Linked DNA regions of Tribolium castaneum. The protein of the gene in region 2 purifies or fractionates together with the protein of the main gene of each other region. This does not show direct contact. Links are inferred from orthologs where the notes say so. Each region holds a gene or a part of one and is shown on either strand. Other genes may lie near its edges. The genes, in order: Kdm5 and Sin3A.

Region 1 (4,620 bases), on a different chromosome or scaffold from region 2:
TTTTTATATTCAAAATCTTTCCGATTAAAACTAAAACTGGGTTCCGATTGGAATTGTTGTTAATGGATACGGTAATTTAATTTAAAAATTCCCTCTCCGTTAATATGAATAATAAACTTTTTGTCGATTTATTCCCGAACAATTTTTTGCGGCCTGAGATAAGGCTAATAGTTACATTTGCCTCAGTTTCAAGTAATCATCGGTCAAAACTCGTCGGGCCGTGCGTTTAATTGTGATTGCAAGATTCCAAAAGGTAGGAAACCAAAATCGTTTTAAGGTTTCGGCAAATTATTCTTTATATTTCAATACATCAGCGTTGTTTTTTTAAGGAATTGGAAATTTAAGCTGTGTCTCAAAATATGTAAAATGTGCGTTTTTCGTTGTCGCTTCTATGTTTACAAATAAAATTGCGTATTATTCTCGTAACATGAAGATTAATTAATTTTTTTCAATTTTAATTCAATATTTGTACAAATGGAAAAATGTTAATTACAAATTAAATATTTTAAATAGAATTTAATTGCACAATTCATGTATTAATATGTACCACCTATGTGAAATGAAAGTTATGTGCTAAACTGCGAGTTTAAAATGAAAATGGAAAAAAATCCGCGAACAAAAGTGCATTTATGAGTTTTCACTAATGATTCACTGCAATCGCTGAGTGGAAAAAAGTTTTATAAACATTAAACCCTCTACTCTCAAATTATATAAAACAAAATAAGAATTATTTGTTGATATATTGGTAACGAAAGAACAATAAAGAACTTGAGATTTTGACATAGAATGGTTAGTGTGAAATAATATTTTTTTCATTAGCCTACAAGTTGTAATTTTGCGACTGTTCTTTTGTGGTGCAGTAATTCTTAAGAAAATAATTTTTCTAATTCGTCAATGAAAGAAAACAATTGAAGTCAATTAAGTATGCGAAAACATGTAACAACTGTAATGTAATTTTTGTTTTGTTTCCTCGAAAAAAATTAATTCTTATGCAATATCAGAAAGAATTAACTTGAATTACAATATCTCAAATAAATAAACACTGTGGGTGTGCCTTGATACCGCCTCGTATCAGCTGCCATTTGCGTCTTCGAAGATAAGAAAACGTTGAACAAGTGACAAGAGGTGCGACCTTATCGCAGATTCTACCCGCGAGATGCAAACAGATACTTACCTCTTCGTGTCTGCTAATAATAAAAATAATAATAATAAATGAATATTGCGCTTGGTCATTAACCGCCAATAACTTTTTCCTAATAAAAAAATTAAAATTATTACGTCGGCATCAAATCGTTTAGATCGGCGAGCGTGTTTCTCAGGTGGTGGTTTGATCGCCATTCGCCCCACAATCCCGTGCGGTTTATAGTCTTTATCAGCCTTCTCGCTTTCCTCATTTAAGGGTGATGTCATTTTCTAGAGAATTACAGTAGAAAAAAAAACAAATCCAGAGTTTTACTTACAAAATTCAAAGTTTTGCCTTGTTTGAAAAGATCAAACGGGTAAAGCAACCTCTCATAGTGCGTTTTTAGAATGGTCCCTATGCTCTTACCAGATGGGTACCCCATAGAGACCGAAATTTTCGACCACTTTCTGTCTTTGGTTACTTGGTCAAAACCACCTAATAAGCAAAAGTCCAACAAAAAATTACCCAGCAATTTGTAATTACCTTGACTTTGAACAATGCTGTGCAACGTGTACAGGTCAATACAGCGTTTTTCTACCATTGGGATTTTCAGTGTGGAACCTTGCAGTTCCCAGAATTTGGCGATTTGGTCGAGGAAGTTTAATTTGACGCGAGTTTTAGCCTAAGGTAACAGAATTAAAGTCGAACTTTGCTAAATCGGGGTAATACCTCTAATTCGTTAAGTCTCTGAATTCGTGGCGTAAATCTAAGTTTGTCAACGTCAACGGCAAAGGGCGGTTGCCAATTCTAGAAAACATATTCGTATTAAACCTCTATCAAACATGGTGGCTTTGCAGCCATAGAACCTCATGTTTCACTTGATTGCTAATGGAATTCTAAATAAAAATAGCCGAGGTTCCTGAGAGTGGTTCAAAGTCTATTCGGGTGCGAATTGATTAACAAAGTCGAAATAATTTCGATGGTCTCTTTTGTGACTTACTGGAGGCGGTTTGATCTTGCAAATGCCCGATCCCTCAGCATACTTCCTGATCTTGTTGATGTACTCGAGCGGATCGTTGAATTCCTCCTCGGTTGGGTGGAAAACGGGAGCCTCCGGTGGAGGCTCGAACTCGAAACACTCTTCTTTGTAGCCACAGCCCGAGTCTTGCTTCGGGCTGGTGTTTTTCGCGTGGTTTTTAGTAGGACTGGTGGGTTTATCCACTTTTGTAGTCATTTTGGGTAATTTTACATAATTAAGTCCTGGAAGAAAAACACGATGGACTTTTCGCACCGAGACACGATGGAAGTCACGGCCTAATCATCAGAGCTCGGGAAAAGTTACTTTCCAGAAGATTAGCGAGGTGCGATACCTGGCCGTCACAATAATCACGTTTTGTTATTGAAAAGGGGGCGATTTCACCCGATTCGCGAACCCCACACTTCCCGAACCCCGTTGGGACACTTTTTACACCAACTTGCCCGAATTTCGAGTATTTTTTTTCATTCTGAACCAACACAACAACATTACATGTAATAATATCCCCACCAGCCGTCATCGATTGCTTGAGGATCTTGTGAATAGCAACATAACAAAGATGGTCTACACAGAAATTTATAAATACACACGAAGATTCGAAATTCGGCCTCCGATTACACAAAACACCCCATTTCCTACTTACACCACGCACTTTGCTCCTAGTTCAGCCTCAAACACCTCCGTCCAACATTTTGCACCATAAATACCAACTTTTAGGTTAACTAGAAAGGTACGTGACGCATAGCTAACCAGCTAAGGCAGCTATTCCATAGAATATAGAACAGCAATCGACATGACCAACAATTCGCTGGCTTACTGTGCAGCAATTATTTCTGGGGCCTGTATTATTGGTTGCATAGCACTTAGGCTGATGATTGCCGTTGACCTTTATGAATTGTCCATTCTCGTTAAAAGTTTAATCAGATTTGTGAAATGGAGCACTGCTTTATTATTACGTAACAACAGGAGTTTAAACCCGATATTTTAGATTTATTGCTGCTTTTGCAAAATAATAGAAATGAACAGTGGCGGAGGTTTGACTATTGCGAAAGGGGCGGGGTTAGATTTAATTAGGTCATTGTCTGCCAAAACAAATTTTCGTTCAAACCTTGAAATTTATCATTTGTAACAACTCTATGTGTGCATTTTTTGTTTTATAAATAATAATATAAAGCAATTGTTTAGATTTTAATGATTTAGAAACAATTCCTAGATAACCACTATTTAATACGGCATCATGGATTGTGTTTGAAAAAAGTTAATTTAAATCTAATTCCTCTTCTACACTACACACAATTTTAAATCACCCTCTGCTCTGCAGTACTACAATTTTCTAAGTAATTTAATAATTCTCCCTGAAATTTATAAAAAGACTTACCAGCAGAAATTATGAACTTGAGCACTAGAACTCAAAAGTCCACTATTGGCGGCATGTTAACACCTCTCTTCCGTTATTAATCAAAATATTTGTGTCTGTATGCGATAGGAGAAATACTTGACTTATGAATTCACCATAATTGTGCGATTTAATAAAAAATTGATTAAGACATATTTTTGAAATTATTAATAGAATTTTAAACTGATTTACATTACATTTGATTTTTTATGTACCTAATTAATTTTTTTGGTTAATTTTCAAAAAATATTTTTTCTCAAATTTTAAATGAAACACTCGAGTTTAAAATCAAAATTTTTAGATTTATTACTTACTTTTCAAAAAAAAAATTTAATGAACAGTGGCGGAGGTTTGGCTGTTTGTTTGGCGTTAGGTCTTTAGGTCATTACCTATTAACACAATTTTTGGTATAAAAAAAATAAAAAAAGTAATGCAATTTCATGTAAATTATAAGCACCACCTGTGAACCGGTAGCGAAACCAAAACCGTTGTGCGGGAAATTTTTAAATTTTAAAGTAGACACGCCTCATTCTCTAGAAATTCTGTGCATTTGACTTTTTATGTAATTAATTTTTGGACTAATGAAGAAGTATTTGGTAACAATTTGTAATTAAACACAAGGATGATATTTTTATTTATTTAATCAATTTTGTTACATACTTTATAATAACAGAGTATGTGATGTAACAAGCAATCAAATTGATCAAATTCATTAGTTTTCCTTGTTTTCTTCGTCATTTTTCTCCTCCAATTTCGGCTCTTCTTTCTCCTGTTGATCCTCCTTTGGTTTTTCCTGCACTTCCTCTTGTTGTTCCTCCTGCTGTTTCTCCTGTTGCTCCTCCTGCTGTTTCTCCTGTTGCTCCTCCTGCTGTTTCTCCTGTTGCTCCTCCTGCTGTTTCTCCTGTTGTTTCTCCTGTTGCTCCTCCTGCTGTTTTTTCTGTTGCTCCTCCTGCTGTTTCTCCTGTTGCTCCTCCTGTTGTTTCTCCTGTTGCTCCTCCTGCTGTTTCTCCTGTTGCTCCTCCTGCTGTTTCTCCTGTTGATCCTCCTGCGGTTTCTCCTGTTGCT
Region 2 (4,388 bases):
ATACGAAAGATGTTTACACGTCGCCATCATTTAATAATGGGACGTCTGTTATTATTGCTCGATAGGGGCTAATGCGCATAACGTAATCAATTACGCTGATAATGGGCGTTAATTTTTGTTCTATGAAAAGACTGAAGAGCTGGGTTAAAACTCGTTTGAACAAGTGTGACGGTTTACGTCTCTTCGAAATTTGTGTTTTTTTTTAAATGTGATTTAACCAAGTTTCATTTTTTAACACACGTGTGAAGACTTCCATTTGATTAGTTTATAATTACAAATCACGGCAATTAAACTTTTCACTTTTCGAGTTGAGAGACATCTGGTTGATATTATTACACTTTTGTGATAAGATTAAGAAAAACGTGTTCGTGTCATGATATGCTGCTATTTTATTACATTAATCGAATTCCTAACAATTACCTACCTTTTGTTTAATTAATAATTTCAGAAGATATTATGAATATTGTATTTCCGTGAAAAAATACAATGTTTTTTAGACAAAAAATATATAACCCATGATAATAACCGGTAAGCATTTTATTTAACATTCCATTATAAATTGGTTTCCAATAGAAATTACATTTTTTATTACATGTAAAACCAATTTTCATTTTCCAATACCTATAATTGTGATTATGTAAATTAATTTTTAACAATTTGCCATTTTTATCCTCTATCCACCGCTGTACAAACATTATTTCTGCATGTTATTACTGTCAGATCAGTTTTTGTAATTATCTCTGACCTTTTTCTTACAAATAAATAAATATACACCGTTAGTAATTATTATAACGTTATAATTTAAAACATACATAATAATACCTAAATTAAAAACAGAGACAAACTCTAATTTAAATAATTTTACTACCTATTTATTTGGTAGATAAATGAATAATATTAAAGTAGAGCACAATGTGACACATAATTACAGTTTTAATAAAATTCGCACAGACTACTCTTATGAAACACGTCCTACAGATTGAATAATTATCAAATTATTTCCCTCGTCTTACCTCTGAAATTTTATATAAACATGTTCATTCCAGCACGAAAATGTTATTCAAGAATTACTAAAAATCGTAAAAACAAAAATCTAAACTAGTATTTGACAAAAAAATAATTTGTGGAAATAAACATGTAAAAAAGCTTTTAAAAATGTAATTTGACCATACTGTTTTTTACAAGCTAGGAGAGCAAAATGATGACTTTATTTCGACATAACCTCAAAATAACATGTTACGTAAACAAAATCCAACAACATTTCGTCCATCATAGTCAAAACCACTGATATTTTTAAAGTTTTAATATAAGATTCGAGGAAAATTTGCAACAATATCGGCAACAACGTTCATGGAACATTTCTCGATCCCATGTTGAACATTTTCAATTCAGCTGATCCGCAAAACGACACGCCCACTTATTTATTTCTGGCATAAACAAAACCGGTAGCGTTTATACGAACTGCTACGCAGTTACTTATCGCGTCATTCCGGACAATAATGGCGTCGGTATTTCTCCCCGGAAAAAAAAACAAAACAAAACTCAGGGTAACAATTCTTATCATTTTGGCACTCGTGAGATAACCAAATAAATAGTCCATACCCTAAACCATTTATGCAAACAGTAAATCAACTTTCACGGATGACCTTGAAAAGGCGCGCGTCAAAGTTTTAGAAAGCCCGCATAAAAATCTCGTCACGTGTCGGTTTCTGGTGGCCATTTTTCGGCATTTGTGTTGTGGCAACGTTGCCACACCTTTGTGCATGAGTAATTTGTGGCAGTGGCAACGTTGCGTGTCGACTTCGCTCCCGCGATCTAGCAAGCTAGGCTCGCGATTGGCCAATGAAGGAATCGATAGGCGAGTGGAAGGGCAGGGAACCGGACGTGCGAGGCGCTGCGACCGAAGCGACCCAAACACGAAAGTGCATAAAGCCGAAAATCGGACGCGACTCTTTGTCAGTAAACAAATACAAAATGTTGCATCGAAATTTCGTAATTACCGAAAGGTCGGCAGATTTTCGGCGGAAAAGCGTTGCCAGGCCGACGAAATTTCCACGGAGGGAGAGTGCCGGCCCCCGCGACGGAGGCTAATTTTGGAACGCCGACGCCGAAATCGCGGAAAAACCATGGGAAATGCTGGAAAAGCGGCGCCGAATTGGGAATTGCAATTACACAACACTTGTGTCAATGTGAAAAGTTAAAAATATGTCACTCACCTTACAAAAGCCTCTTTCGCGGAAAGCGCTTCCGTGCGGACTGGTGCCGGGGATGCACCGTACAATTGCAACCGATCCGCGCTGATTTCACTGGGAAATAATTGGAAAACACTAGAATTCATCAAAAGAAAATTCTGACACATTCTGTTCCGAACCACCCGAAACGATGACCGATTGTCGACTGACTGGCTGCTTCAAATCTCCGAGCTTGTTTGGACGAGTCCATCAATTTCGGGTGGTTGGTCGCTTTGCCCACTTTCAAATTTTTCAAGTTTTTGATCACCAAAATGCACAAAACCTACACACAAACATTACGACGTGCCACAGGATGAGCTCCCAATTCCAGAAAAATTACACTTTAGTCATATTGTGGATTTTTTCAGTTTCGGATACTAGCGACCGCCCCTCGAATCAATTGTCTGATCCGTAAAAGGTTTGTTTGATGCTTGCTCTGATAGTTCAATGTGAAGAGAACAGTGGCGCTGTTATCGATTTTTAAAAATACCCGCCAAAGAACAATGTAGTGCCCATTTTCGGATTAGTTGAGCGTGTAGCAGATGTAAAAGTTTTAAACTGACCTCTGACTGTTATTAATCTTATTAAGCCGGACATCAAGATTCAAACTCTTTTTGTGTCTATTAATTATTATTAATAAACTACACCTAAACATTTTTATTACTATTAAAAATAATTATACCTACAAGAAATTAATCAACTAAACAATTTCTAAAAGTATTCGTGCCAATGATTACGTGGCTGCAGAGGCTAATAAAAAATATAAAATTAAATAAAAATCTGAAAACAAGTAAAAAACTTGTCTATGCAATTAATTCATAAATCCACTTTATGTTGAATATACATCCAGTGAACATTACTGCATAACACACACCTCAAGAAGACACATTTTAATTACTAATTATTAATTTAGTCACTCTCTTCGGCAATAAGAACCACAATGAAAAATTAAAAAAATAATAATAACTGAAGTGAGTGTATAAAAATAGTTGAAAATCACATTTTTGGATTCAAAACATCAAAAAAAAACACACACACACACACACACAGTGATGCATGGAGAACATTGGAAATTTAAAACAGGTCATAAATTCCATTTAAAAAATTATGTAGCAATCTGAAACTTGAAACAAATACCATATGCTAATATTTAAGAGCTTTTGAGCTTTTTGAGAAAGATAAGAGTTGAAAAAAAAATAAATTCACTTGGTTTATTGTATTTTGGGTTGCCCACTTCAATCAGTGCTTCTATTCTATGACAGACAATAAATAATTGAAGAAAATGGGGTCACGTTTGTGCTCCGAGTCAAAACGGCTCCAATACACTTCTGATAAACTTGTAAAAAATTACCGTAAAAAACAGAAACATCCAATTAGTTAGAATTCAACCCAAATTAATCCAATTATTATTCCCAATTAGATAATTCTTACAAAAACTAACTGTATTATTGGACCGTTTGGTTATGTATTTTATCGATTTAATTTTACATTATAAAAACCACGGGATTATAACTGTGAAAGATTTTCGGTTCAAATAATTTTCATTACGGGAAATACCATTGGAGCAAATACTATCAGCCATCACTATCAGCATAAGCCCAATTTAGCCAATCAGAAGGTAGAAACGTGTCATTAGAAAATTATGAACGTCAACCAGTTTTATTTTGAAGAAAGCGAGCCGCGAAAATATTATTCTTGCCAGTTTATTCCGAAAAAGTGCAAAATTGTTCTGACAATAAGATGAAAATAACGCTAGTTCTAGTAACACTCTTTTTTTACAACACAAAAGCACAAAAAATTGATGCTCAAGAGTTGAGGTGTTTAGGTAAAGAATGAATGATTTTTGTTGTAATGGTGTTTTGTAATTAGTGATGATTTCCAGTTTGTAAAGTTAGTTTAGACGAATTACACAAAGCTGTGAATAAAATCGATCCAACCAAAACCGTCGACGTTGGGGGTTATAGACTGGACTCTGATGGCAATTATCGACACAAATCAGTTTCTCAAGCCAAGTCTGAGGTTCATTTATCCGAAATGATCGAAGATATTTGTACGAAAATGGACGATTATGTAAGGGCGACGTGGAAATCGAACGGAACTTTAACTTTGTTGAAATTAATTACCGAAGATGGGAAAATGAATAACGACATGTCTGAA

What was found.
Region 1: the proteins of Sin3A (region 2) and Kdm5 purify together in Drosophila melanogaster (affinity purification with western blotting; 3 studies listed by BioGRID, with this or other methods). This does not show direct contact. The link is inferred for Tribolium castaneum from reciprocal best matches to the Drosophila melanogaster genes Sin3A and Kdm5.

What each region holds. Positions count from the first base shown.
Region 1 is NC_087403.1:6,553,593-6,558,212, reverse strand, and holds the start of Kdm5 (lysine-specific demethylase 5), read right to left. Parts: upstream 2,949-4,620; 5' UTR 2,803-2,948; intron 2,384-2,802; 5' UTR 2,358-2,383; coding exon 2,124-2,357; intron 1,931-2,123; coding exon 1,853-1,930; intron 1,806-1,852; coding exon 1,667-1,805; intron 1,619-1,666; coding exon 1,461-1,618; intron 1,414-1,460; coding exon 1,279-1,413; intron 1-1,278. Other genes in the region: UPF0746 protein DDB_G0281095, read right to left, coding at 4,268-4,620. UniProt on the Drosophila melanogaster protein: Histone demethylase that specifically demethylates 'Lys-4' of histone H3, thereby playing a central role in histone code. Does not demethylate histone H3 'Lys-9', H3 'Lys-27', H3 'Lys-36', H3 'Lys-79' or H4 'Lys-20'.
Region 2 is NC_087396.1:24,661,650-24,666,037, forward strand, and holds the start of Sin3A (paired amphipathic helix protein Sin3b), read right to left. Parts: upstream 2,804-4,388; 5' UTR 2,217-2,803; intron 2,137-2,216; 5' UTR 2,001-2,136; intron 1-2,000. Other genes in the region: sel (protein seele), read left to right, coding at 3,972-4,056, 4,114-4,388.